4 linked regions of the Oreochromis niloticus genome follow. The protein of the gene in region 4 interacts with the protein of the main gene of each other region in a biochemical or structural test. Links are inferred from orthologs where the notes say so. Each region holds a gene or a part of one and is shown on either strand. Other genes may lie near its edges.

Evidence for each region.
Region 1: the proteins of hsp90aa1.2 (region 4) and tert form a complex in vitro, tested with the Homo sapiens proteins (2 studies listed by BioGRID). The link is inferred for Oreochromis niloticus from reciprocal best matches to the Homo sapiens genes HSP90AA1 and TERT.
Region 2: the proteins of hsp90aa1.2 (region 4) and sugt1 form a complex in vitro, tested with the Homo sapiens proteins (4 studies listed by BioGRID, with this or other methods). The link is inferred for Oreochromis niloticus from reciprocal best matches to the Homo sapiens genes HSP90AA1 and SUGT1.
Region 3: the proteins of hsp90aa1.2 (region 4) and ppid form a complex in vitro, tested with the Homo sapiens proteins (2 studies listed by BioGRID). The link is inferred for Oreochromis niloticus from reciprocal best matches to the Homo sapiens genes HSP90AA1 and PPID.

What each region holds. Positions count from the first base shown.
Region 1 is NC_031985.2:28,041,017-28,048,233, forward strand, and holds the start of tert (telomerase reverse transcriptase), read right to left. Parts: upstream 3,004-7,217; 5' UTR 2,989-3,003; coding exon 2,686-2,988; intron 1,933-2,685; coding exon 666-1,932; intron 576-665; coding exon 386-575; intron 294-385; coding exon 140-293; intron 59-139; coding exon 1-58. Other genes in the region: histone-binding protein RBBP4, read left to right, coding at 3,737-3,752, 4,351-4,501, 4,599-4,744, 4,838-5,011, 5,257-5,372, 6,390-6,550, 6,651-6,777, 6,965-7,042. UniProt on the Homo sapiens protein: Telomerase is a ribonucleoprotein enzyme essential for the replication of chromosome termini in most eukaryotes. Active in progenitor and cancer cells. Inactive, or very low activity, in normal somatic cells.
Region 2 is NC_031982.2:7,942,054-7,949,368, forward strand, and holds the start of sugt1 (protein SGT1 homolog), read right to left. Parts: upstream 3,008-7,315; 5' UTR 2,862-3,007; coding exon 2,848-2,861; intron 2,747-2,847; coding exon 2,698-2,746; intron 2,001-2,697; coding exon 1,910-2,000; intron 1,712-1,909; coding exon 1,642-1,711; intron 17-1,641; coding exon 1-16. Other genes in the region: ETS-related transcription factor Elf-1, read right to left, coding at 6,494-7,100. UniProt on the Homo sapiens protein: May play a role in ubiquitination and subsequent proteasomal degradation of target proteins.
Region 3 is NC_031966.2:12,642,594-12,649,509, reverse strand, and holds the start of ppid (peptidyl-prolyl cis-trans isomerase D), read right to left. Parts: upstream 3,002-6,916; 5' UTR 2,884-3,001; coding exon 2,799-2,883; intron 2,302-2,798; coding exon 2,161-2,301; intron 1,623-2,160; coding exon 1,516-1,622; intron 56-1,515; coding exon 1-55. Other genes in the region: spmip2 (uncharacterized protein C4orf45), read right to left, coding at 3,554-3,614, 5,463-5,528. UniProt on the Homo sapiens protein: PPIase that catalyzes the cis-trans isomerization of proline imidic peptide bonds in oligopeptides and may therefore assist protein folding. Proposed to act as a co-chaperone in HSP90 complexes such as in unligated steroid receptors heterocomplexes.
Region 4 is NC_031980.2:5,312,186-5,320,022, reverse strand, and holds the start of hsp90aa1.2 (heat shock protein HSP 90-alpha), read right to left. Parts: upstream 3,017-7,837; 5' UTR 2,839-3,016; intron 1,793-2,838; coding exon 1,643-1,792; intron 1,477-1,642; coding exon 1,110-1,476; intron 1,020-1,109; coding exon 886-1,019; intron 691-885; coding exon 373-690; intron 252-372; coding exon 86-251; intron 1-85. Other genes in the region: hsp90aa1.1 (heat shock protein HSP 90-alpha 1), read right to left, coding at 3,657-3,766, 3,864-4,197, 4,313-4,581, 4,676-4,823, 4,939-5,129, 5,281-5,446, 5,541-5,846, 5,965-6,098 and 2 more. UniProt on the Homo sapiens protein: Molecular chaperone that promotes the maturation, structural maintenance and proper regulation of specific target proteins involved for instance in cell cycle control and signal transduction.

The sequences.
Region 1 (7,217 bases), on a different chromosome or scaffold from region 4:
TGGCACGCACACAGGCCCGCAGCATATCCAGCAAGTCCCTGACACGGCCTCGGTAGAGCTGTAGGGAGGAAAAAAAAGTTGAAAATCCAGCCCACAGCATGTAATAACAGACAAGTCTGAGGTAATTGTCGGTGCGTACCCTTGTTTTGGCATCTGCTCCTATGACTCGTGTGATGGGCCTCATGCCATCAGTCTTGGGAATAAAGCGAAGGCGGGAGATGACGGTGCCTTTGGGCAGGGATGCCACCTGAGCTGGAGTCAGCTCTTCCATCTGGCCTTTGGAAAGGTGACCTCTACATGAAAAGCAAATTTTGTTCCCTTTTTTGGACGTATGCCTCATGTCTGTATGTATGCTGGCTACTGTAGTAATGTTGTGTGAGTGTACCTGAAGGCCAAGTCTTGCAGTTTGGCCCAGACTTCCTGCCTGTAGAACCTGATGGCGTTTTTTTGCCCAATACTCTCTGTTGCATAGAAACAGGCTCTCACAAGGCCTGTAACATATCCATCCAGAAGCCAAGCCAAGAACTGACCCAGGACCTGTGTCCGATACGCAAGCTCGCTGGGTGGAAAACAGCCTGCAGACGAGTTACGTTGGTTCGGTCAGGCATGAAACACGAAGCAATCAAAAAGAAAAAAAAAAAAAAGATCATTGATGATAACCTCACCTGTTTTACTCCTCTTCAACCAATCACAGTCATTCACCTTTATCTTCCACATCAGTTCAGCCAGTGAGAGCCTCTCAAACTTGCCACTTCGCAAGAAAGTCCTGACCCTGGCAAAGAAATGCAGCCGGTTTTGATCAGAGCCCCACAGTTCTTGCGGGATCACAGAAGAGAGGCATTCCCGGACAAACAGGTAAACCCTGTGCGGTGCACAGTGCTGAGGTAAGAGTGAGTTTAGTTCTCCCTGTCCTGCATTGCTCTCCTCTATTGATGGACATAACCTCTGTAGTATTTTGGTGTAGGAACAGCTCCTGTGTTGTTGTAAGAGCTGCCTAAACAGGGGGACCATGCCAAAGAACCTCTGGGGGAGTTTTTTAGGCTTCCTCTCTACTCCATTCAAATACGCTAGTCCCTCGAAGAAGACTATTCTTACCAGATCTTGTCCTTGAAGCCTTCTGGATCCATGAGCAGTCTTCTTCCTCCTGTTAAGAAGAAAGCCACGCATGCCCCTGCCCCCATACAGGAATCCCAGGGTGCGGATAAAACATTGCGAGGGTGGTAAAGGGGGGAAAATCCCTGATCTCCAACTAGGACCGCCCTCCAATGTTGGCATTTCAACAGGCTGTTTGAAAGCTGCAGGCGGTGCTGATTCCACAGGCACAACCTGTCCTTCCTTTTCAGAGCCAACTGGTTGGATCGCCTGTTGATGTTCTATAGACGCTACTCGCCGCCTCTTTCTTGAACAAACCGCCACCTCCTCCTCTTCACCAGTTTCCCGTTTTCTTTTCCCTTTTTTCCCTCCTTTATTCCTTCTTTTCATCTTCTTGCTTGCAGCAGGATTCACAACTGTGCGTTTCTGTTTCAAACTCACTGACCCTCGACAGCTCTCAATCTTGGTACGATTATGTTTCCTGACTCCAGGCTGGAGAAAAAACCCACTCGAGGCCATGGTCATGGACACCCTGTCATAGACTGGAGGGCCGCACACCTGGAAAACACACGAAGGAGGAACTGCCACAAACACAGAGCAGCTCTCCAGAAGATATTGCGTGATGTCTGTGCCCAGACGCATTGTGACTTTTTTCCACAGGTCACTGCCGTGGATGTAGGCAGCACTCTGTGTTACGTCGCCTTGGAATTTGAGGAAGTCTGCATCCCGATCCTCCTGAGCCAGGGTCTGAAAGTTATAGCCATGTGCCAAGACATTCCTTTTTCTTTTTCTTTTTAGAGTGTTGAGAACAAACGCCAGTAGTTCAGGCAGACTGCAGATCTGTGGAAAGTATGAATATATAAGAAGAAGCCATCTCCCATTAAGCTGTTAAACCCTGACAAAGGCAAAACTTCAGACTCTCTTATAAACCTGTCAGCTTACTGATGTGTGCATCTATACCACAAGTCTCATTTCAATATAATATAACTCTATGCTATATTAGCCCGGAGACTGCTACAAAACAATACTCTGAGTTCTTTATTCTTCTATGTGATTAAAATTGATTCAAAGTTACCATTTTCTTTACTAACTAAAACCAGAGCCATTAAATCAAAGAGTCATGGCACTCGAAAGATCCTGAAATGAAATATTCCACGTATAACTTAGCACAGTGAAAACCCTTTTACAATATTATTGTGGGGCCCACCCCGTGTCCCCGTGTAGAGCCGGACGAATATATCGGCTGATATTAACTATCTGTCATTATAACTGGATACATTTAAACATGTCTAATAAAGGAGAAATGGGGGGGGAAGTGCCCCAGAAGAAAAAAGAAGACCTTGCTGAAGCTTAAATATCCTCCAGCAGCGCATAGTTTTCTCCCAGCTTAGTTTCAATATACATATATATATATATATATATATATATTCAAAATATAGGAGTGTAACATGGTTTCCTGGCTTTAACATTATAACAGCATGGCAGGCAGAGTTAGCTACACCGCTTCAAACGTCCACAGAGGGCTGCGTATCAACTCCTCAGGACTAACCTGGGAAATGTACATGTATATTTTTCAATCCGGCGAAACGTTACCTGTTTACAGCTCGCTACCTGCTGTAGCTCCTTGTCAAAGCACACAAAAACACTCCTAACGAAAGATTTGAATCGGTTTGTATCTGTCTGCTCAATGAGAGCTGCTTTCTGTCCTTCTCTGAACACGATGCTGTCCGAAAACTCCTCCAGTGTCTGCGTGTGCCGGTACAGTAACCGAAGGATATCCAGCACACCGGACATATCAGTCGCAGACATACCGACTGTGTTCGGAGCACTTGGACGGAGGTTAGCTACTTTACACTGGGATTTAGCTATGTTTGACCTTTTAAGGGCCCGCGTCATGCTTAGCCTATGGGAAAGCGCTTTATTGGAGCTGGCCAATCAAAAGTCCTCATACTAAAGGGGGGAAATTTACTGTTGACCAATGACAAACAGGTAAAGGCTTGTTGTCTTTTGGCACGAGTGTAGTGAAAAAGTGACAGTATCACGTGCGATTTGAACCAATACATTAAAATGAGAACTGCTCACCAGAGATCATTCATTCTGTCACGCGCATTATATGCGCACCACAGGCGGTTAAAGCGACATATTTCTGTGACCTTAAAATTACATTTTAATTAAAAAAACGCAAACAGCAGCTTTCAGAAGAACAACAACGATAGTGCTCTACCTGATGTGCATCTGCTAAAGTCCAGACAAATCCCCCAAGAAACACAATAACCACACGGGTGGTGTTTACCTTCATAAATTCCAGTTTGTAACAGTATATTTTACTAAGGATAACAATACATTAGCCATCGAAATTACTTGCAGCTGCACCGGAGTCTGCGATAGCCACGCGCACAGGTGCTGCGCCGTAATTGGTGGGAAGACGCCCCTCTTTGTACCGAGCGCGCGAATGCACCCACGTCTCTCACAGTCGGCTGCTCGGTTAGCTAGTTCTTAGCGTGCCGTTGTACCTCCGGTGGTTTAAACGGTACCGGGGGTTTGCAGGCACACCGGAGAACCAGCTTGGACGAGGCTCAAGGGGCTGTACACCTTAACCACACCTCAGCTCTCAGTTTTCTGTCAGCTACGTGGGAGAAACATAATGGCAGACAAGGAAGGTAAGTGAGTATTTTAGTTGTCAGCAAAAAGAAACGATTCTGTTTGACGCCCCTCAGCTAGTTGCCCGGTTAGCTTAGGTGGCAGCTAGGGCAAGCTGCCCGTAGCTCTTGTGTTTTACTCTATAACAGTCAACACAAGCGGGGATAATTTAAGAGTGTGAAGGTGAACTTTACTGATGTCAAAGCTCAGTTATTGTTTGGGCACCGTCTCTGAAAAGTTGGGGTAATGATTTGTGTGTGAATACCGGGCAGAGGTGAAGAAATGAGTTCACATCTTATGGTTATGCTAACGCTGTAGCAAGGTGCGGGAACAATGAGAAGTTTCTCATAACACTGATAAATACCGAGGCCTTGTCAGGTTAACAGTCAAATCATTTGATAGCGAAATTTGTCGACTGTAAAGACCAACTTTTAAAGGTTGTTGTTGATTAACTGTAACAGAAATAAATCTAGTAACATCAACATTTAATATTAAACTAACAGCTTGAGTTAGTGAAAGCTATGGACATATCTGATGGGTGTTTGTAACTAAATAAAAAGTACAGTATTACTGTGTGTCCAATTATCATCGCTGGTTCTGTGACAATTTTGTCCTCAGCTGGTGCTTTTGATGATGCGGTGGAGGAGAGGGTCATCAATGAAGAGTACAAGATCTGGAAGAAAAACACCCCCTTTCTTTACGACCTGGTTATGACCCATGCCTTAGAGTGGCCCAGCCTGACTGTTCAGTGGTTACCTGACGTCTCAAGGTGGAAGCGTTTACACATTTGGCCGGTAATATATCTCAAACATGCAAGAAATTGGCATTAATGCATTAAAAACCTTTTTTTTTTTTCTCCCTACCAGGCCCGAGGGGAAGGATTACAGCGTACACAGGCTCGTTTTGGGCACTCACACTTCTGATGAGCAGAATCACCTGGTTATTGCTAGCGTGCAGCTGCCCAATGATGATGCCCAGTTTGACGCCTCACACTACGACAGTGAAAAAGGAGGTTGGTATATTGATAAAGAGAATGTATAATGCATTTACTTCATATTTTATATACTTATAGCCTGCAAACATATTTCTCTATATTTCCCTGAAGAGTTTGGAGGCTTTGGCTCAGTAAACGGCAAGATTGAGATTGAAATCAAGATCAATCACGAAGGAGAAGTGAACCGTGCCCGCTATATGCCCCAGAACCCCTGCATCATTGCCACTAAGACCCCCACCTCAGATGTGCTGGTGTTTGATTACACCAAGCATCCCTCAAAGCCAGGTGCAACAGTCACACAAAGCACAACACACTGCTGAAGATGGCATGTTCTTGAGTACGTTATGAAAAAGTGCATTGTAATTGGTAGCTTACTGGTATTAAAACAATTATACAACTTCACCAAAACATAAATACTGGGCGCACAGAGTCGCTACTCAAAAACAAACTTGTCTGTTCAGTTCTTTTAAAACCACACCTCTCTTCCAGTGTCTCTGAATTGACAGTTGATTTTATTATGTTGTCTTTAGATACTTCAGGAGAGTGTCGCCCTGATCTGCGTCTCAGAGGCCATCAGAAAGAAGGCTATGGTCTATCCTGGAATTCAAATCTGTCAGGAGCTCTTCTTAGTGCGTCAGATGATCACGTAAGAGGAAGTAGTTCTTGTTTTAAGAAGAAATGGCGCTTTCTGTTTTTCATTTTTAGCAGCAGATATTTCCAACTAGGGCTGTTTTACATATTTATGTCATAATAGTTTCAATCACTGTATTTCCAGTACCATAAATAAAAGTAGACTGCTTTGCCAAAAAGTCACACACACTGATATTTTGGTGGGCCGACTTTAGCCTTCATGACCGTTTGCATTCACTGTTTGGTTCCAATCCCTCAAGTTGTCTGTGTGACGTGCACGTGGAAATGCTCTTAATTTAAATATTAAACTGCTCTGTTTTGTTCATTTGCAGTTTCTATTACTGTAGTTATCACATAGCATTATTTCTACAGTTAGGTGATTGAACTAGCATTTCTGGTGCCAGCTGGTGAATTAAATCATTTACTCAGCTGATCCTTTACATCAGGGGTCTCAAACTCCAGTCCTCGAGGGCCGGTGTCCTGCAACTTTTCCATGTGTCCCTGTTGCAACACACCTGAATGCAATTAGTAAGTCATTAGCAAGACACTAGAGAACTTTTAGACTGCATGCTGAGGTGGCAATTCAGCCATTTGATTCATGTTACAGCAGCTTATGAGCGAATGAACGTGGTGCAATAAAAGTACTTTTAGAAGTACATTTTTCCAAACACTTACATTTACGTAAATTTACTTGAGTAGGGGTTAGGGGTTGCCACTTTAGCATGCAGGTGAGTTTTATATTCTGGCTAATTACCTACTAATTTTATTCAGGTGTGTTTGCAATAGGGACACCGGCCCTCCAGGACTGGAGTTTGAGACCCCTGCTTTACATTCATAGCTACAGTGACTTCTAAGTGTTTTTTCCACACAAATGGTGTCATAAACTGACCTCAATGAAATGTCAGGAAGGTATGAAAAAATGTGCACTGCCAAAAACCTGCTGTTAACAATCATTTTCCACTTTTACCACGTTTTTACCAAACTGAAGTGCAAACATGAGGTTTGATGTGTTTATGTGGTTTTTGTTACTTAGACCATCTGTCTGTGGGACATCAGTGCTGTTCCCAAAGAGAGCAGGATAGTAAATGCAAAGACGGTCTTCACCGGTCACAGTGCTGTGGTTGAAGATGTCTCTTGGCATCTGCTTCACGAGTCGCTCTTTGGATCTGTAGCAGACGACCAGAAGCTTATGATGTAAGACTCTCGGTCAAATACCACGCGCAGATGAAGCACACTTACAGTTTTTTCAAATGCAGCAAAAGGATGAGCGTCACCCTGTGTCTTGTCCTTTAAGCTGGGACACTCGTTCAAACAATACCTCCAACGCCAGCCATGCAGTGGAGGCCCACACAGCAGAGGTCAACTGTCTGTCATTTAACCCTTACAGCGAGTTCATCGTTGCCACCGGCTCAGCAGACAAGGTGATACAATATTCCACCACTTCTTAATTGGTACTGCTTTATTAACAGCAGGACTTTTAACTGAGTGCATTTGGTAACTGTTCACTAAATAATCCTGATGGTATTGTTAGTTTTGTAACTGCAGTGTTGTTGCAGAGATCAGAAAATGTTGCAGGCATGTTGTAATATACATCTGTGCCGCCCACAGACCGTGGCTCTTTGGGACTTGAGAAACCTGAAGCTAAAGCTGCATTCCTTTGAGTCACACAAAGATGAGATCTTTCAGGTAAGATGTTTCTTTATATGAATGAAATTGTACTGAAATAAGGACAGTACCTAATGGTGCAGTGATATAATTTTGTATATTTTATATTCATTTAAATTTAAAAATAAAGCACTGAAATAAATCTTATGTAGTACATGCTTCTTTTGACTCAACCTGCTGCCTTCAGCCTGCAACA
Region 2 (7,315 bases), on a different chromosome or scaffold from region 4:
GTGATATTCGGCTATTCTGCAGTTGGGCAAGAAAAACATGCCACATGAACTTAGATCAGGCAATCTTGGAAAAATAAACGCAGCTTCATCTGACAAACAACATCTGTATGATTTACCTTGTTAAAGCAAAATGTTTTGGTAGTTTTTGTGCATTAACTTCTGAGGAAGCGCAGAAATCAGACTTCTTACTACACTGGTAGTTTTCTTCCACTTCCGCGGAAGAAAATGAATGGATGGTAGTTTTAGAAATTACATTTTTAAGTATAACTTTAAAGGTTTCAGACAATTCTTACATTGCAAGGCGTAAAACGTGAAGTTTTACATAATGCAACCACACCAAATTTATATTGTGACCACATAATAAGAACAATAAAGAAAAAATATATAAAATATAGTTACAAATTGCTTTACAAAACATGATAAATATATAAAAACAAAGAGGCAACAAATTAAAACAAGGCATAAAATCTGAACATGCTGTGTGAATAACAGGTGAATAAACACAACGAAAAGAAGTAAATCAAAGAAATAATAAAGGGGCAGTAAAAATAGATTTACTATGAAAAGTATTGAGTAGTGATTTCAAAGTACTGAGTTTGCTAACCTCAGTTGCTATGGTAACAGAAAACACTCAAACACCTATGTAATGAGGTGTATTGTGGGAACAGAATGATCTGACCTGACAAACGCAGCCAGTCGCTCAATTAACACCAACCAACTAAATCTACAGTGCGGGTAGGATGAGCCCATGCAAGGTTTTAAAAGTAACAATAAATACAACTTTAAAAAAAGCTTCAAATCAGCTCAACTTTAAATCACTTTGTCTTGTCTCTGTGAATTTGTTTTGAATGAGGTGAAGGCAGGTGACTGAATTTTGTCTGAGACCCGAGTAGAGTGGATTACAATAGTTCAAACGTGATGAGACGAAGGCAAGGATGACTCCTCCGAGGCCCGCTTGAAATGGAAAATGTGAAAAAGCATGACAGTACCACTTTGGTGATTTGTGTGTTAAAACAAAGCTCTGACCGAAGTTTGTTTGATGGACGAGGACGGGTTTTCAAAATTTTCCTTTAAGTTAGAGGTCAGGTTTGGGGTGTGGGGGGAGCACTGAACCAAAGGCCTTCAGAATTGAAATCACTGAGCTGAAAGAAGTTTTGTGACAACCGTCAGATAACATCAGAAACATGAGCCATACACAGCAGGTTTCATCCCATCTTGTCAATAAAGCTGGCTGTACGTTTGTGTCAGAAGGGATAATTTTTTAATCAATTAAACTACATGTTTTAATTATTATTTTAGTTAATTTACCTTTTTTTTTTTAGTGGTGAGATGAACATATCAAACAGTAAATGAAGTGCAGTCTAAACTGAGCTAAACATCTGCATGCCAGGGTGGACCCCTGTGGGTTAGGTTGGTGATTCTGAATTGGCCATGGATGTGAGGAAGGCCCACAGTGTTTTTAAGCTTTTCTTGTACTGTAAAGTATATTTGTACATTGCTTATAAAACTAACCACACCTGCGAGCACTATTTGGGGATTGTGCTCACTTGCCATTTTGCCCCTTTTAGTAAATTTGGCCCTATGAGTGGTCAGTCAGGCTAGAAAAGTGCTATGTAAAGGCGTGCATTTCACAGTCCATACCCTGTGCGCATGAAAGCAAGAGAGAGGCTGGGTTTTAGCTGTTGTGCTTTCTTGGCGTCATCAGCAGCACCTGTGGACATAAAACAAAAGTAAAAAATTACTATGTTTCTTTATGCAGTGCATATATCCAGGCTGAGTCACATGCAGTGTAAAACCTCAAAAGCTAAACAACACGTATTTGTAATGCGCACATAATGTTCATGCACTTAATAATGCATCAAAAATACAATTAGTGTGGTCTGTTTCCACATGTGCTATGCAGACTTACAGCTGTAGTTCTTGAGCAGTATGTGGGCATAGGCACGCTGACAAAACCACTCAGCGTTGTCTGAGTCTCCTTGTAAGGCCTCGTTAAGCTCCTGAAAATAATAACGAGGTGGCTATTATTGTATAAAGGGCTTAAAATCGTGTTTTCAGCTTCAAGAATTGTGGCAGGAAAGAAACTTCTAGAAAAATGCTTAAATCGAAAGTAGAGCTGTTATGCATCTGCAACTTTCACTTTCGCAGTCGGATATCGTTATAGAAGAATCAGCTCTCTGTAAATCTATTTGAATCTGTGTTATTCCTGCAAATCAAACTGTAATGATTTTCATAATACTGCCCCGGTTAGTCACATAAATAACCGCAGATTCACCAGAGGCTTTTTAAACAGCAGAAATAAACTTCACTGGTTAAGTCTGTTGACAGTTAACAACTTCATGTCAGGATGACAGGGCTAGTATCCAGCAGCAGACTATTTCGAGCTAACGTTATGTAGTAATACCTCCTCACGCATGAGACATATTTAATTCTTAATGGTATTAAAGAAACAGGTGACCGTTTGATATGATAACGAAGCGATTCTGGGATTACTTTTATTCATAACTAAATAGGGCTAGCAAACATGTTGGCTAACTTCGCTAGCTTGTTGGTAATATCTGAAACACAAACACCACAGGTATTACTCAATTTCCTTTCTAGAGTAAGTCCACTGAATTTAAAGTTAAATGGACATCCTGCAAGAGCCACCGTGCATCGCACAAACTTGTTTGTGGCTAGCTGAGGCTAGTGTTTTACCTGCAGAGCTTTCTGTGGATCTTCGTCAATGAAGCTATCGGGGAAGCTGCTAAAAGCAACAAAAAAAAGCAAGTTAGCGTTAAATAACTGAAAGAAAAGAAATGTCTGCTGCTATAAGAACAGTTCATTGATAGATTTAGATGAACTTACCGTTCGGTTGCCATCTGCTTCTGTGGATGTGCACAGTGTTTCTGGAGTGACAGGAAAGTTCTAGATGTGGAGACTACGAGAAACGTGATAGCGGTAACAGTTACAGCTCAAACACAGCAGAGAGCCTGTCAACATCCGGCTGCGCGCAGCTCATACTGCCTCTACTCCCCCTAACGGCCCGGAGGAGTTATCGCTAACTTTTTTTTTTTAAGGAGACGATTTTCTGGACAGAGAATTAGGCGGCAGATTTGTCAAAGAATAGAAACGTTTAAATTGAAACTGGATACGGTCACCCACCAACAAATGTATAATACCATTAATGAAAATAAAAATGGGGGCTGATAGAATATAAACACAAACAATTTGTACTCCCCCAGACGGTCAGGAAACATAAATGATACAATATATCCGAGAATTACGGAGACATGGCTTATTTCAGTCAGACTTCAGTCAGACTTCCTGTCAGAGCTATGGTACAATGGACCTATTATGTTAGCACAAAAATGTCCAATGATTCATTGTGAGGATGAAATGCTCCAACATCAGCTGGATCTGTAATCAGACAGAGAACAACGGAAATAAGACAGCGAATCGGCTGTGGGGTGTAATGTTGACTGTAGTCGACAAATTTGTGTTGCACGTCTCTTTAAGGAAATAATGCGGGATGGTAAAAGACATCCATTCTAGGTAGTCGTGTACATTATTAATGTTCACATCTGGAGAACAAGAGGTAAAGTAGCTATTTGAAGAAAAGATAACTAACAGTGACGCTGCATGTGTTTAAAAATATTGTTGCTGATCTCAGGAGGAGGAAAACTTTTGGACTGAAGAATAATCCTCTTCCCTGGGACATATTTAGTGTTATCTATCCTTGTACATGCTGTATGTATGTGTAACATGTAACATCCTGTTGAATTCAGTTGCGTATGTCCACAAAGAGCAGCAGGTCAGCTGACCACAGCCGGTACACTAAGAAAATCTGCTGGAGCTCACAGAAGAAATTATTGCGAGTTCTCATTCTTTTCCCCACACTGAGCCTCTACAGTGGATTTTGGGGTTTCCCCATGTGCAGAATCAACTTTAACCCCTGACTGTACACATTTTCTTGTTTAGAGGAAAAGTCACCCTCTACACTGTAGGCAACACAAAATAAACTTCTTTTTCTATGTTCATGTTCTGCATACTTGATTCAAGTTGAATACATTCATTAGAAATAAAATTTAGATCAGAAATTATATAATAAAGACTGCATTGCTATGTACTACTGTCATTTTATTATATTACTATAGCTCAGTTAGCTTTGCACAAAAATAGCTGGTATAGAAAGGCCCTCCAAAGAGCTACTTTACTGTGAGTACGTTTCAGAGCCTGTAGTTTTCACTTTTACTTGAGTAAAGAAGTCGAATCAGTACTTTAACTTTTACCAGAGCACTTTTTAACAGAGGTATCTGCACTTCTGCCACCTCAGATTAGCACCACTGGTATGTTAAAAAGACTGGTGGTCGCCATTGCTACCCCTCAGCCACCTACAAGCTCCTCAATGGTATCAATTTGAAAAGCCTATGTGACATTTTTCTTCAGTTACTATGTTCACAAGATTTTCACAGAGCTTGACCTCTGACAAGGTAACAGAGATGCAAACTTGTCCATGATTTTTAGTAAATGCAGCTATGGTATCAGCTGGAAAAACCTACATCAGCTTGTTTGTGAGTTATCACGATGACAGGACGGGTTAGTGTTAATGTGGTAAGCCAAAAAACAACTTCACCAAATCAAAAATAGAATTAACACCTTTCTGACAACAGCAAAAAAAGAAAAACTGATCGTGTCAGAATTCTGTAGAAGTAGTTCTGGCAGATCTGTATCACTGCATTAGGCCTTTACTGATAAAGCAGCAGTTGAATGCACTGCTCAAATGCGACATATACACTCACCAAGCTACGTCTACTGATGCTCCAAGTCTTCCAAAGGAACAATGATGGATTTCACACAATGACAAATGTAAATTTATTTCATATAATAGACGATTAGCTTTAACATCACTGGACTGCATGAAAGCAAACACAACACAGCATTAAAAAAAAACAAAAACAAAAAAAACAAGCTCCACCTCTCCCTCTACTACAAGCTTACAAATCTATTAAGGTAAGACATTCCCAAGACACATACTGAAGAGCAAGGGGCAAAAAAACACCAAAACAAACAAACAAACATGTTATAACAAAGTGAAAATAGTTCTGCATAAGAGTTCCCTGCAGGCACAGTTACTGCATAAGCATCTCTTTGCCAAGTTTAGCCTCTCAAAAAGCCAGCCTAACTATTCAGTCATATTTTTTTTTTAAATTTGGAGTGAGGTGAAGTTTGTAAGCCGGCTTCGTGAGCCTACGCTAAGACCGGGCGAAGAGAAAATAATAAACTAACAATTTCACTTTTACTTCTTGCATAGAGTACATAATATGTGCAGCACAAAAATGCTTTATAAACCTGAGGGAAGGAAAAAAAAAATGGCATCAAAAGAACAAGCTTTCACAGGCATACAGTACACAAAGATCAGCCAAAACATTAAAACCACCAGCCTGGTAATATGTAGGTCTGCTTTGTGCAGCGATGCCGCTGCTGGCGCCTTCTGCAATGCTGAGCTTGATGCTAAACCCACGTGAACGCCAGCCAAACATTGCATTGCACTGTAACGAAATGACCAGTGTTCACTTCAGCCAACACAGTGGTTTTAATGTTGAGGCCCTACGGTGCGTAATAGACGCATACAGATAGAGGATTCAGAGTTTAATATATGCACTCATATATGGATAGCTAGTGCACAAGAGAAAAGATAAATAGTAGCACTATAATTTTACAGGAGGCAGGGTGGCTACAAGGCCACTTCACTGGTGATTGTCACGAAGAAAATAGAAAAAAAGAGTCCCATGGTGTAGATAAACAAATAATAAACAGCGCAAGTGCTAAAATACTACTTTGAAAAAATAACAGTGATCCCTTGTTTTGCAGCAATCTTAAAAAACAACAACAACAACAATAATAATAATAATAATAACAATAACAATATGGAATGTTTTCCCTTATGATTACCAGGAATAGGATGGACTGACATCTTCAGGCACTTCAGAAGAAATATACAGCAGAGGTAAACATTAGTGCAAAGCCACTTTTAAGGCAAAGGAATGCTTCAGGACGTGATAGCATGAAGACACAAAACTAAACAACGTAGGAGAAAGTGAGAGCAAAAAGCAGAGAAGAAGGGCACAGTGTGGTGATAAGATAATTGCTTCCAGGACACTGGAGCTGAAGTGCAAGCAGAGAAAGCGTCTGCAGGCAGTGCAGAGAGGCCAGAGATTCCAGTGCATGTCTGTCTTTGGTGTTGGTTTAACAAAGGGCTACACAGAATGACAATAAGGCGAAATGATCAGATTTCAAAGCTGAGAAGGTAAACTGCTGTGAGATTTTGGTTCCTGTCAGCGCTGTGACAAAAGCACTGATCTGTACTTATGATCTAAAATAATATTCTACACCAAAAGTCCTTGTTTTTAAATCAGCATTGTCATAGCAAAGTGCAGCCCTGTAAGTGGTCCTGAGTCGGTGGAGTGTACAGGCATCTGTGTGTTCGATAGAAAGTGGGCACCTGTTATTTTTATTGGTCAGAGCTAATCAGAGACATGAGCTGTGGAGTTTTTGGTCCTGGGTGCGACTTTTTCTCGGACATCTCCGGCACACCTTTTCTCCCTATGGCCACCTCGGCAGCAGCCTGTCGCTCGCACAGACTCCCCAGCAGCTGAGCCGTTTTGAAGACTGAGGCATGACCGGCGGGTTTCAGAGACTGGACCTTTTGCAGGTTCTGGAGCGTGCGTAGCATCTCAGCTGACACGATAGGCAGATGCTGTTCCTGGATCAAACTGGAGCTGGTGGGACGCAGGACGGTGTCGCGCTGAGCTGAGGGCCTGGGAGCGGGCCTGGTGCGCTGTGAAGCGGGAGCGCGGCCGGAGATGGGGGACGATTTCTTTGGCGGTGGCTGAGAATCTTCCTGCTCCTCCGCTGAATGGTCACTAGACGATATGGTACTGTCAGAGTCGTCGCTCATGCCTTCGTCGTTGACGCTGTTGTCGTCGTGGTCCTCGTCGTCTTCCTCTTTGATGCCATCTCCGTCGGTGATGTAAATCATGTCTTTGGGGAGAGAGGTGAACTGGTAAACGAGGCGCTGGCCTTCAACCTTATTCAGTATGCCTCTCTGGTAGTAGTACCTGCATGGAAAAAGCAGAAATTGACAGCTTTCAAACCTGCTACAGTTTTCAATCATTCACATCTCATTTGTAAAATCTAAAATAAAAATGACAAAAAAAACATTTTTTTTTTGTCATCGATAAAGAGTCAAAAATATATTTTTGACTCTTTCTTGGTGTACTATGATTAGGTTCCATACCTGCCCCTTTCTTACTAACCTAGATTGGATAAATTC
Region 3 (6,916 bases), on a different chromosome or scaffold from region 4:
AGCCGTTGGTGTTTGGCCCTGCATTGGCCATGCTCAGAAGACCCTCTTTGTTATGCTACATGGAGAAAAAAATAGGTTGGAAAAAGCAGCTGGAACATCAAACATGAGCCAAAAACATAGCCATCGTTTCTGAGTAACTTTGAATTTCTTTGTTCTGCTTCTTTAGACAATGACAGCAGAAGAAAGACAAGAAGCACTAAGGGCACAAATATCCCAGCGTGCTCTTGAGTTTGTGTTGCCAAGCATTTCATTTTTAAGATGATAAAACTTCACAAACAACGTGGCGCATGAAGAAATTCAGCTAACTCTTTAAAATCACCTGATGTAGAATCATAAGCCATCTTACACATGAGCATCCGACAATTTCAAGAGAATCAGGTTCGGATTATTTCACCGTTCTCCTTTCTCACGTGTGGCACGAGGAGGGGTTAAAGCAGGCCGGAAACGATCTGGAAAAGCATTTCGGCACGTTCGCTTCACAGGTAATTAAACCTGCATTACTGTTGGCATTACTGCCGAATGAGGTCATTTTTCGTGTGCTGTAGCCTGGCGTTGCTTCACTTGCTCAAACATAATGACATCCCACATAGCCTTTACATCCCCTGTGATGCATGCATGAAGTAGATGTAAATAAAATTAAATAAATAAAGCTGCAGTCACTATACTCAACATCTAATTAGCTACAAGAGATGAGAAACATAAAGTAACATTTAGATGTTTTTAGGTGGGAGGTCATTTCAAGTACACAAAGTGTTTCTGTGCATCTCATCTGTGATTTCCCAGGAAGAGAAAAAAGGTTTATGTGGAACACTCAGAGATGTGTAAAGATGTAAAACAACAGAGCAGGAGGGGAAGATAAGATTGTTTTTAAAGGTAAGGATTGTTCAACAAGTTGGAAATTTGATATCTTACATGTGACCTCCTGGAGCTTTTAAATCAGATATGGGATCTATACATCATGTGTTGCTCAACCATGTATTTTTTAAAGTCTTGCAAAACAAGCTAACTTTGTGTTATTCAAATTGCATGAAAATACTGCACCGGGCAGTTCTCTTTCATAGCATTCGTTTCGTGTCTCACTATGGGGAACGCCTCCTGCGTGACCTCATCAGAAGCTCAAATACCATTACGCCAGCCCTTACAGGCTGGCTAAGTGGCGCCCATGTCAGGAGGGGCTAGTGCCTCCCTATATAATAAGCTGACATAGCATCAGATTCTAAAATTAAGCAACTGATACTGATTAAATCCAGTCAATGAATTTTACCTTTTCTACCAGCTTTATACTATCGGAGCTTGTGCAACATTTGCTTATGTATTGCTGAATTCAGGTGGCTAAATGCCAGGATATAGTGCCCAGGAGGCAACACACATGTCTATTTGTCCTTTGCTGTAATCCAGCATTCACATATACTCTGTAACTGAGAGCTGGCAAGTTAAAGACTGGATAATGTTTGCACATGCAGTGCATGTGTGAAAATGGCTACAAATTTGCAGTCCTGGTGATAGGTCGTGTACCTTGTAGTGGAAGTTTTCATCCTCAAACTTCTCCCCATAGATGCTTTCACCCCCTGTGCCATTATGGTTTGAGAAGTCGCCTCCTTGGATCATAAACTTCTTGATGACTGCCAAAAACAAATTTACAGCCACATTACTTTTCCTACATTAAACAAACTTAATATCAACAGTGTTCCAGGCGTCTTATTATGAAAATTGAACTCTCAAGGGCTCAACAATCCCATGAGAATCTAGGTACTTAGTCTGCATATTAAATGCTCTGTTGCACAACTATTAAGGGAGAGCATTTGTGTGAACAAGCAACTATTCAATTTATAATATACACTACCTCATACTTTGTGTATATTTGTAAACTGTAGGAATTAATATTATATATTTATTACCTCTTACTTACCTATATGCAATTTAGCCATGCAAGCAGTGTTATCTAAACTCACAGCTTTAAATAGTTACTCATACACCTAGTTTCCAAGCCACTGATTATGCTAAAACTTGGGATTTTCTCCTAGGAAATGTGCTGAATATCCAATAAACTATATATTCTCCAAATGCTTCGCTACCCTGGATGTCCTTTCAACTACTGAGCTATTCATCTTCAAGCTCTCCTTCCAAAGTTAAAAGTCACATCACATGAAGGCTATTTACTTCTATGAAACGGGCATCCTTTGAAGTGCAGTGGTTTCCCAGTCGATTTGCCAGTGCCCTTTTCTCCAGTGCACAGAGCCCGGAAGTTCTCAGCAGTCTTTGGGGTTATGTCAGCAAACAGCTCGAGAACAATTCGGCCAGCTGAGGACAGAAAGCAGCTCGGTTTAATCAGTTACAACACCAATGACATTAATCTGGACTAGGTTATCAAGCGACAGTTTCAATATTGAAAAAAATCATCATTGATTAGGTAAATTGAAATAATAAGATTGAAAACATTTTAAGTGCCCTAAACATATAATTATAATACAATGGACTGTGTACTCGTATCTCTTTTAACCTTTTAATGTTTCAGTTATAGGATTATAGTAACACAAGACAAAACAAGCACACGTGGTTCATACACTTACAAAACTGGCTCACAAAACGTTTTAATCTGCCTTAATACTCTAAAAGTAAAGGCTTTTAAAAGGACAAACACATGTAATTTACAGCTTGGGTTATTTTTAGCTGATAGCGTCTTTGGCATGTGGTATATAAATCAGTTTCTAGAAGTCACTAGAACGTGCCAGGATAGTGCTAAGCTAACAAGCTAAGACTTAAAGTGGCCCAAATAGATGTTAAACAACAGTCCTGACCTCTCTCCCCATCAATGTCCACGTCCAAGAAGACGCGGGGGTTTTCTGGGTTTGAAGGCTTGTCGGATGGTGTTGGGTAAGACATGTTTTAATACAAATCAACACTTATTCTAGCGATGCTAGCTAAATCCAACCGGTGCACTGGAGCAGGTTGAACGGGATGAATGGGAAAGACATACGACTTCCGATTACTATACCAAAATAAAAGCCGCCAGATTACGGTCTGTGTTAACTGTATAGTCTCATGTAATTTCTAGTGACTCTTACACGGTTTTAAAAACAAACAATTCGTTATCTAATTACGATTGACAGAACAAAAATAACAGATACAAAATAATAGATACAAAGGTCGAAGTATAACCGAAGAACAGTGAGTGTGCGACTGCACGCGTATTCCGGTTGCGATTTCCAAAGTAAAACACCAAAAAGACTAGAGATCACCGGTCTCCACTGTTGTGTGTTGCGCTGCACGTGGATTCAGCACTCAGAGATAAAAGTATACATGTGTAGTTGTACCACTGACACCAAGAGGAGAAAAACAGTTGGCTTAATTTAAAGCCAATCTTAATATAACATAAGTTATATAATATAAGTTATATTAAGATATAACTATGACTATAACTACTGATTAAAACAACAACAAATGCATACATTAATCATAACAATAAAGCACCACAAAGACCAGTTATAAGCATAATCTTTGGTTTATTAAAAATAAAAGTGGGTAAAGCCTGAAAAACTCAGGGAGATGAGACTCAGAGGGATGGTGTCTCACTGCAGTGACTCTTTGAGCTGCCTCCTCCTGTGGTTCCTGTACTGAGAGGAAAAAGAGTCAGAAGAGAGAAGACAGGAAGTTAGATATGACTGTGAAACCATTTTTAAGTATCTAATTTAAATTATGGAAAAGTAAGTATTAGTATTACCAAAACATAATTTAGGTTAAACAAAGTGTGACAAGTTTCATCGTTATTATGAATTTCTGTAAACAGGACTAGTACTCTAATACATGATTAAAGTGTTAAAATATAGGGAGAGAGAGGAGAGAGAAGTTAGTTTGGTCCTTAAAGGGAGATGCAGGCAGTTTAACAGATGGTGTTATAGTGATTCTCCTACTTGTTGCTGGAAGATTGTCCAAGTGGGGTTACCCAGAGACAGAAGTTAGTGAGTGGACTAATTCCAAGGGACAGGTAAGTGTACTGGCTCTTGAGCCCAGCAAGGATCATGCTTGGTAGTAGCAGACTATCTGGCGGATTCTGGAAGCACCAACTGGTCCTTTAGTACTGGGAATTAATTCGGATCTGACGAGGAACCGGTGTACCTGGCAGCATAACGATGACTGAGCTCTGCTCTAGAGGGAGGAGAAGGAGCTCAACCAGCCCTGGCCCTCTACTCAGAAGAGGAACAGATTTCATGGACATCATAACCAGAAAACTATAACAGTAGCTTCATCCATTCTGAAACCAGTTCAGATGTCTGTTTGGGATCATTGTCCTGTTGGACAATTGGACAATATCCAAGTTTCAATGGTCTAGCTCAGGGGTGGGCAATCTCAGTCCACGAGGGCCGGTGTCCCTGCAGGTTTTAGATCTCACCTTGGTACAACACACCTGAATCATATGATTAGTTCGTTACCAGGCCTCTGGAGAACTTCAGGACATGCTGAGGAGCTAATTTAGCCATTTAAATCAGCTGTGTTGGTTCGAGGACACATCTAAAACCTGCAGGGACACCAGCCCTCGTGGACTGAGATTGCCCACCCCTGGTCTAGCTATTGGTTTGAGGTGAATTTGAAAAATTTGGAGCTAGTTTTCTTTCTTCATTATTCCATTCACTTTGCAAAATATACCAGAACCACTGGCAACAAAATATCTCCAGAGCATAATGCTACCACCACCATGCTGTCATGGCCAAATAGCTCAATCTTTGTCTCATCTCACCACAAAGCTTTTCTCCACAAGACATTTGGCTTGTCCATATGGGCAGCTGCTAATTACAATCAAACTTGAAGGCCTCAGTTTTGGAGCAGGTGCTTCTTTCTTGGTTGGTACCCTCTGAGACCTTGGCGATATATAAAAACCATCTTCACCATGGATAGTGACACTGGTGCTCCAGCAGTTTTCAGTTCATGACAGGGTTGAGCCTTGGTGGTTCATCGTTTGTTCCTGAACATCCTAAATAATTTCCTCTTATCTGAGAATGACAGTTTGTGTGTTCTTTCATACTTTGGCAAAATAGTGATGTGTCCAAATAACTTGTGCTTTTACAGTTTGAATCTGCATCCCATCTTGTGTAAATCTGCAAATCTTCTTAAGTCTTGACAGTCTTCTTCGGAGTTTTCCATTGTTCTGAATACTGGTCCATCTAATGAGTGCTCTCAAACAAATCCTTTTGATGCTGGATGCCTGCAGTCAGTCATGATCACTAACAAGAAGTTAATAGACCTTGCCCCTTTCAAGCTAAAAGAACCTTCAGCATCACTTATTAACAATTTAAGTGACTGTATGTATATATTTGAACTTGTATATATAATTCTTTAAATTTTGTGGATTAAAGAAAATCCAAAATAAATTCAAACTTATGCATCCAATTTCAGTTTTTAACATTATTAAAGATGTATGGTGTAAAATCATTGCCCGTGGTCAGAGTATATACATTTAAACTTACCTTGTGTTTTCAGTCTCATTTGGGCCCTTCACTTTCACTCTTGTCCCTCCTCTGCTATCAGTTGAGCTACAAAATAACAGATGTTAATAGTCAACAGGACCATTGAGCCTAAAAACAGTATTTATCCTATTGACTTCTCAGATATGCTCTCTCACTCCTAATTTATAGCCATATATCACAAAAATAGCTAAATGCCTGACTGTAGTGCAATTATCATTTTATCATATTAGGTCACACTCATTGGATATATTTGTTTAAAGAGATCAGACAACCACCGTCCATAACATTATATTAAGCCAATATTTCATTCAATCAGTTCAACAAAAAGTCACTCTTTGATGCTTTTTTCTTATTTCATAATCATGAATGAAAAAAGAAAACACCATGTTAAAATAATTTACAATTAATTATTTTTTTCTGTTTGCTAGTCTAATCTTCCATCAATTAACAGCCCAAAATCTACTAATTAATTAATGCATATTCCACAGATTAACTTTTAATACACAGTGCAGTTTGATTTGTGTGTGCTCATGCATATATTCTCATTTCTTTGTTTTAAAAATACATTTTAAACATCTGTGCTGCTATATGGATATGAGATGGCTGCCGTATGTTGCCAACTTTTTCATTTACTTACCAATTCTGCAATTGAATTATAAAACAGTATTCAAAAAATGATACATGCTGCTCCATCATTATGCTGGCAAAATATTCTTTTTTCTTCCACGCAATAGTTCTGACCTGTCACAATAGAAAGGGGTAATTTGATCTTGGCTGTTACACTCATTTAAATACAGTATGTTGCTCATAAGTTCTTTATTAGATGATTTTAATGTTTAATTGGGTGGGTAGAATCTGCTTCTAGTCATTTCTAGAGTGTGATTCGGGTCTTATGTATAAATGATGCATTTTAACTTCATAAGAAATTATTTATTTTACGTATCATAACCCTGAAATGTAATAACCACTTAATTGGACCTATGGGGAAAAACTGATTAGACTGTTTTTAACTGGTGATCATATCAAAGATCTCTTCCAAGATCCTCTAAACCAAAACAGACCGTTTGGACCCCCTGCATGTTGAAGATTTTGACTCTGCCTTCCACTCTTACTATATGTGGAGTGTTTTGTTTGTTGGAGTGTGCATACTCAACTCAACCACAACATGGCTTTATGTGGGTGTGAGACTTAGAGCATCCTATTGCAGCGATGGTATTGCCTGAAAATTGCAGCTGACCCCAAGAAATTGATGTCTGTGTGGCTCGTTACAGAAAAATTGGTGTTTTCTCTTGCAGTAAACAATCTGTACCGTTATCTACACCAAATATAAGGATGTGATCATTTTTGCTATGGCGACAGATTACCAGGTGCTGCTCAAATAAGAATCAAAAGTCTGTAGCTGTGACACTCTAAGAAGGGAGTGAGACCTCTGATAAACAATACTAAACCTGTGA
Region 4 (7,837 bases):
TTAAAACTCTAAAGAGTCCATTGTGTCATTTTCATTATAATTCTATTATTGTTGGGGAAATTGTAATCCACAGTTTAATACTCACTGAGATACTCTGGGATGAGCTCCTCGCAGTTGTCCATGATGAAGACTCTGCGCACGTACAGCTTGATATTGTTCTTCTTCTTCTTGTTCTCAAAGAGGTCGAAAGGAGCACGCCGAGGCACAAAGAGCAGGGCACGGAATTCAAGCTGACCCTCTACTGAGAAGTGCTGTAAGGCAAAAAAAATAAAAAAACAAAAGTGATTATATATTGGGCTACATTAAATCAGACACAATTTTCCTCCTATAAAGAACTGCTACATTTTTAAAACAACATATCAAGAGCCCAACCTTGACAGCCAAGTGGTCCTCCCAGTCATTGGTGAGACTCTTGTAGAACTCTCCATATTCCTCATTCGTGATGTCATCTGGGTTCCGGGTCCACAGGGGTTTGGTCTTGTTCAATTCTTCCTGGTCAATGTACTTTTCCTTGATCTTCTTCTTCTTCTTCTTTTTGTCTGACTTCTCATGGTCCTGTTCTTCATCTGATCCAACATCCTCAATCTCAGGTTTGTCCTCATCCTTCTCCTCATCTTTCTCCTTCTCCTCCTTCTCTTTTTCCTCCTCTGCCTCGTCGTCACTCACCTCCTTGTCCCTCTCTTTCTCCACCTGAAGGAAAATACATTTGGTCACACGCTGAAGAATTTCCCTACACCTTAGCCTTAGGGAGTCACTATTTTATAATATCAGTGTTACAGAGGTTTATTCAGCAACTTTCTCAGAAGTCTAAAGTGCAAAAGCTATCTGCAATAGTTACAAATTGAATTCTTCTATGGGATCATTAAATATGACTTAAGTACTTACAAATAGCGTAATAGGGTAGCCAATGAACTGTGAGTGCTTCTTAACAATCTCTTTGACCCTTCGCTCTTCAAGGTATTCTGTCTGGTCTTCTTTGAGGTGCAGGATCACTTTAGTTCCACGTCCCAGTGGCTCAGCTGTAGAGGAAGACCATAGGTCAGTATACTTTATAACCACCGGGTTAGATAATTAATAATTCACTTCAAATTTGGGTTTATATCACTTACAGTTGTCTACTTTAACTGTGAATGAGCCACCAGCAGATGATTCCCAGGCGTACTGCTCGTCATCGTTGTGCTTGGTAACGACTGTCACCTTCTCGGCTACCAGGTAGGCAGAGTAGAAACCCACACCAAACTGACCGATCATGGAAATGTCAGCTCCAGCCTGCAGAGCCTCCATAAATGCTTTGGTGCCGGACTTTGCAATTGTGCCCAAGTTGTTGATCAGGTCGGCTTTGGTCATGCCAATACCTGTGTCAACTAGGGTTAGAGTACGCTCCTCTTTGTTGGGAATGATCTCAATTTTGAGGTCTTTGCCAGTTTCCAGCTTGGAAGGATCAGTGAGACTCTCATAGCGGATTTTGTCCAGTGCCTGATGGAGCAAAACACAATGTTAATTGTTTAAAGAAATTCCAGAATTTATTCTGTATTGATAAAAATATAATTCAATTTCTTAAGGGGGAAAAAAGCATATTATTTAATGTCTTTTTTATTTTAAATAATAAACAAAGCAACACAGTCTAATATTGCAAACTTACATCTGAGGAGTTGGAAATAAGTTCCCTAAGGAAGATCTCTTTGTTGGAATAGAAAGTGTTGATGATCAGGGACATAAGCTGAGCAATCTCAGCCTGGAATGCGAAGGTCTCTGCCTCCTCCTCCATTGGTTGGTCGTGCATTTCAGGCATCTGAGTGAAGACGGAAAACAAATATTGTTTTTAAAAAAAATGCATTGACTAAAGTGACTGAAACACAATATAAAATACTCTTTTTTATAACACTAAATGTTTGCATCCCAGCAACATACACTTGAAAAACACTGCCAATCCTTCTTATGTAAGATGTTGCAGTTACAGCTTATCCTTATTAAGTAGCCTCAATGTAACATTGAGGAATTAACATCACTTCAAACTAAAGCAAATTCTGTGTAGATGTGTAGTATATAGTCACTTTTTTTGGTTTCTTTTTTTCTTGCTTACTTTCATAATTTTGTATTAAAAGGTACAAGGACCTTTTTTCCCCCCTTCTTGGACTGTGATTCAATCCTGCTTGGTTATTGGCTAATCAGAGATTAACACGTGGCTTGAATTGCATATCGGTATCAGCAGAAATTACTCCACCTGCTGGTTTCCCAGGTGAAGTGCAAGTTTCTAGAAGGTACGAGGAGGCAAGAAGAACTCTCTAGCAGTTTCCATATGAATCGAAAGCGCCCGCCTCTCATACAGCTGACGAGATTATAAGAATGCACACTCTGTACCCTACTGATTTTGCACTGAATTAAAACCTGGTACAAGGATAAGATGGCCCAAAAAATCTTGCAGAAATCTTAGCACAGGAAATTTGATTAAGGTTCAAACAGTTAAACCCCTGCTTAACATAACACCTTCCTCCCAAATGCATCACTAAAGCATCCTGCCATGTGGCTACTGTCCCGCAGGTTTGAATTCTGAAATGAGGCACAATAGGAATCAAATTCTTATTACCGTTTATGACGCTGACATTAAAATTTCAGAGCAGATACTTTTTAATCAGTTTTTAAAGACCAGGTGCTGTAACTACATTTCACCCTTTCTTCACTTCAGCCTCACTTTCTATCCAGACATGACAAAAATGTCAGCTTCGATTCTAAATTATTGTCAAATAAGCTAACATTTAGTACTATTAAATCTGAATTTGAGGGCGTGTAATATTTTCGTATCCCAAATGTCTGTGGTAAGGCTGTTAATGCATTTACCTTGGTTTGCAGTGTGCCCAAAACTCCTGAGGAAGATGTGTAGAGATCGCTCCTTACTCGCAGGCTCGTTGACTGCTAATGCTTCTATGGAAACTGGTGTAACGGTGCGGTTTTTATACCCTCTATGACCATTCGAGAAATCCTCCTGACACAAGCTTCCAGAACCGTCTGGAATCCTCCTGCTCGGTGGTGGCCGCTCACTGGCCCGGTGCCCTGTCAATCATGGTGCGTGTACATGCCTCTCTGCCTTTCTTGGCAGAAGGAGGCGGGATTAAGGGAGGGGAGGCTGAGCCGAATGAGGAAGGCATGTGAGAGCAGAAACTAGAATGAACCATGCTGTATTCACTGAAAATTCCAGAATACATGATAAATCAAACGATGTAATTGATAAAAGTAAGCCACTTAGCTGTATTAAGCGCTTCTCTAATACAACTTTTCACCTTTCAGTATTATTGTTTGTAGGAAGCAAAAACAAGTGATAAAATTAAGTGACAGGTGATAAGATAAGAAAAGTGACAGGTGTCATTTTTAAAATATATTTTATTACAAATTTGATTGCTTTTCATAAAAAATGTTACAAAAGAGATATAAGTCTAAACCCCGGTGACTTAATAATACTCTTAGTGATTGTCAGAAGTTTTATAAGTGGCTGATACAATATAAACTAAAGCCACTGTGGTCTGTATTAATTCCATCAACTTTTTCTGACTAGCACATTGTTTACTAACAGAAATTCTGCTAAAAAATAATGTACATTTAAATTAGGAACATAAATTACAAAAATAAAAATCAAAGCCAGAAAAAGTCTAGTAAATAATTTAGTCAACTTCCTCCATTCTTGATGTGTCATCGTCGCCTTCCAAGACTGGCATATCTTCATCAGCAGGCTGAATTATGTCTTCAACTGCAGAATCATCATCATCAATTCCTGTGTATAGAAATACATCCATTAAAAAACAAATTCCTCAATTAATGTATAATAACCTAACTACTACCTGGATGTTTGAAGGAAAAGCTATACATACCAAGACCAAGTTTGATCATTCTGTAGATGCGGTTAGCATGTGTTTGTGGGTCTTCCAGTGTGAATCCTGAGGAGAGCAGGGCAGTCTCGAACAGAAGGATGACCAGGTCCTTCACAGCTTTGTCGTTCTTGTCAGCCTCTGCCTTCTCCCTCAAGGTCTCAATGATTGGATGCAAGGGATTAATCTCAAGGTGCTTCTTTGCAGTCATGTAGCCCAAGGTGGAGTTGTCTCTCAGTGCCTGAGACTTCATGATCCTCTCCATGTTTGCCGTCCATCCATAGGTGCTGGTGACAATGCAGCAGGGGGAAGCAACCAAACGGTTCGAAACTACAACCTGTCAGGATGGAAATACAGTATTTTTAGTATGTTTGAACACAGTCAAGCAAGCTTCTCATGCCTAATAATGTTAACTATAATAACTTTATCATTTTCTGAAGGAGAAAAATTACCTTTTCAATCTTCTTATCAAGGATGTCCTTCATGATCTTGCAGAGTTCCTCAAACTTAGTCTTGAGCTCTTCCTGCTTCTTCTTCTCCTCCTCATCCTCAGGCAACTCCAGGCCTTCCTTGGTTACTGAAACCAAGTTCTTGCCATCGTACTCCTTCAGCTGCTGGACACAGTACTCATCAATGGGCTCAATCATGTAGATGACCTCCAGGCCAGCTTTTCGAAGGCGCTCCACAAAAGCAGAGTTGGCAACCTGGTCTTTGGTCTCACCTGTTAAAGTTATTTCAGTATGGTGTTATATGAACTTAAACTCCCAGGGAATACTTGAAAACAAAAGAAAAGGAAACCACACTGAATAACTTACCAGTGATGTAGTAGATGTGCTTCTGGTTATCCTTCATACGAGAGACATAGTCCTTGAGGGAAACCATTTCATCTCCAGAGGCTGAGGTGTAGTAGCGGAGCAGCTCAGACAGTTTCTTCCTGTTCTGGGAGTCTTCATGGATTCCAAGCTAAGCATAAAAAACAATGTGTCATTTTGTGTTATTAACATCAATGCAAAATGATTGGTATCATACATTTTTTCTGAAGTTTTAGAGTGTAAGAAATTTAGATGGATGATCCTACCTTGATGTTCTTGGAGAACTGCTCATAGAACTTCTTGTAGTTGTCCTTGTCCTCAGCCAGTTCTGAGAAAAGCTCCAGGCACTTCTTGACCAGGTTCTTGCGGATGACCTTCAGGATCTTGCTCTGTTGCAGCATCTCTCTGGAGATGTTCAGTGGCAAGTCCTCAGAGTCCACCACACCCTTGATGAAATCTGAGTAGGGAAAATAAACTGGTCAGCTACCCAAAGCCAGGAGTTGAGTTCCAAAAACAATTACTAATAACTATGAATTTTGAGAGAATGCATCATTAAAGGGTCAAGATTTTGTTCACTATTACTAATGTGTTACTTTATTGTTACTTACTGAGGTACTCTGGGATCAGTTCTTCACAGTTGTCCATGATGAAGACCCTGCGCACATAAAGCTTGATGTTGTTTCTCTTTCTCTTGTTTTCAAAGAGGTCAAATGCAGCTCTTCTAGGTACAAAGAGCAAGGCACGGAACTCCAGCTGGCCTTCCACTGAGAAATGCTGCAGGGGTAAGATATAGATATGTATTAATTAGCATAACATTATTGCAACTGGTGTTGCTAAATATGTTTTATCACAAGAAGATTTAGCTTACCTTCACAGCCAGATGGTCCTCCCAGTCATTGGTAAGACTCTTGTAGAACTCGCCATACTCTTCATTGGTGATGTCATCAGGGTTACGGGTCCAGATAGGCTTGGTCTTGTTGAGCTCCTGGGCATCAATGTACTTTTCCTTGACCTTCTTCTTCCTCTTGTTCTTGCCATCCTTTGTATCTTCATCCTCATCAGAGCCAACGTCCTCAATCTTAGGTTTGTCCTTGTCCTCAGCAGCCTCCTTCTCAACCTCCTCTTCCTTTTCTCCCTCCTCCAGGTCTACTTCCTTTTCTCTTGTCTTCTCCACCTTAAATATGCAAAGGCATATTTAAATTTTGCTTTGCCATACCATTATCACACCCAATGTGTGGTTATTATCAAGTATTGATTGGATAATTGTTCTTACTGTGTAATTAAAAACTTACAAAAAGTGTGATGGGATAGCCAATGAACTGTGAGTGCTTCTTCACAACTTCTTTGACACGCTTCTCCTCGCAGTACTCCGTCTGGTCTTCCTTGAGGTGAAGGATCACTTTTGTGCCTCTGCCAATTGGCTCTCCTAAAATCAACAACAAAATTAGAACCGTGGCAGACAAGGTCAAATGACTGATTCAATTGTTGTGTAAATGAGGCGACTAAGACATACCTGTATCAGGCCTGACTGTGAATGAGCCTCCAGCTGCAGACTCCCACATATACTGCTCGTCATCGTTGTGCTTGGTAATGACTGTCACCTTCTCGGCTACCAGGTAGGCAGAGTAGAAACCCACACCAAACTGACCGATCATGGAGATATCAGCTCCAGCTTGCAGAGCCTCCATGAAAGCTTTGGTGCCGGACTTTGCGATTGTGCCCAGGTTGTTGATCAGGTCAGCTTTGGTCATGCCAATACCTGTGTCAAGGATGGTCAGGGTGCGAGCGTGCAGATCAGGCCTGATTTCAATCTTCAGGTCCTTGCAGGACTCAAGTTTGGTGGGATCCGTCAAGCTTTCATATCTGATTTTATCCAAGGCCTGTCGAAAATAGATAACTCAATTAAAATAGTTTTGGGGGGCAAAAAATATAAGGGCTTGCTTTACATTCAAAAAAATTGGAAAACATGGTGTTGAAGTGTTTATTTCCCTTACATCTGAGGAGTTGGAGATGAGTTCCCTAAGGAAGATCTCTTTATTTGAGTAGAAAGTGTTGATAATAAGGGACATCAGCTGAGCAATTTCAGCCTGGAAGGCAAAGGTCTCCACCTCCTCCTCCATAATGTGTGCAGAACTCTCAGGCATCTAAAGGGGAAGAACATATTGGGTAACATTTTTCAGAAAAAAAAGAAATTGTACCTCTGTATTTTTTGTGTTTTCGAATAATTATATTTTCACCTGTAGTTTAAATTAATTTACTATGAACTTCTTCGGTTAAGTTTTTCTCAGGCAGCCACATGGCCTGCTGATGTGCACATGTTCCTTCTGTCAATCACAGAACTGGCATTTTTGGGGGGTTGGGGGTTTGGGGGGGGTTCAGATGCTTTGGAAACCCTTAATAGCTTCAATGTGTGTAGTGTTTTTGTTAAAAAAATAGCAACTTGAAATTCAAAGATGAAACAAAAACTAACTTTGTTTTTTTAGCATAGGAAGGGGTAGTCTGTTGTCACGACTACTGCATATATTTTTTTTGGCCTTCTAAGAACATTTCATACATTAAACAAAGGTTTTAATCCAGAATGAATAATTCCTTTACAGTTCTATGGGATTCATATTTATGTCACTAAGCTAAGATGCAAATGTGCTGCATCAGCTGTTAGAATAGATTCTGAGAAGCCATTGGTCCCACACTTGGGTCACCTTGCTTGCCATGTGCTTCATGCCTGTAACAGTCCTATTTAGACACTGATAGAAAAGCACATACACTATACCATTCTGATTCTAACCAATATTAAAGGTTTAAGTTAATTACATTATATCACAAAAGCACCCAATATACTGTAAAAAACAAAAGTTGTTGTAGATTTTCTAATTCTTACCTTGAATATAATCTTTATTTTCTGTTACTTTGTATAGTTAAACCAATCACTGAGCTTGATTTCTCTTCTTCAAAAGCTTCAAGTGTGTGCTTGGCTGCTGCTCCTGTGAGCAGTAAGTGTCTCTTGTGAATTAAATCACTCACTTCACATAAAACCTTACAAGCACCCAGTATACTCTAAAATCTAAATGATTGTTGCATTGATTCCATTCTTACCTTGGATATAATCTTTGTCTTCAGTCACCTCTAGGAGAAAAATGTATCACTGAGCTTGACTTCTCTTCTTGG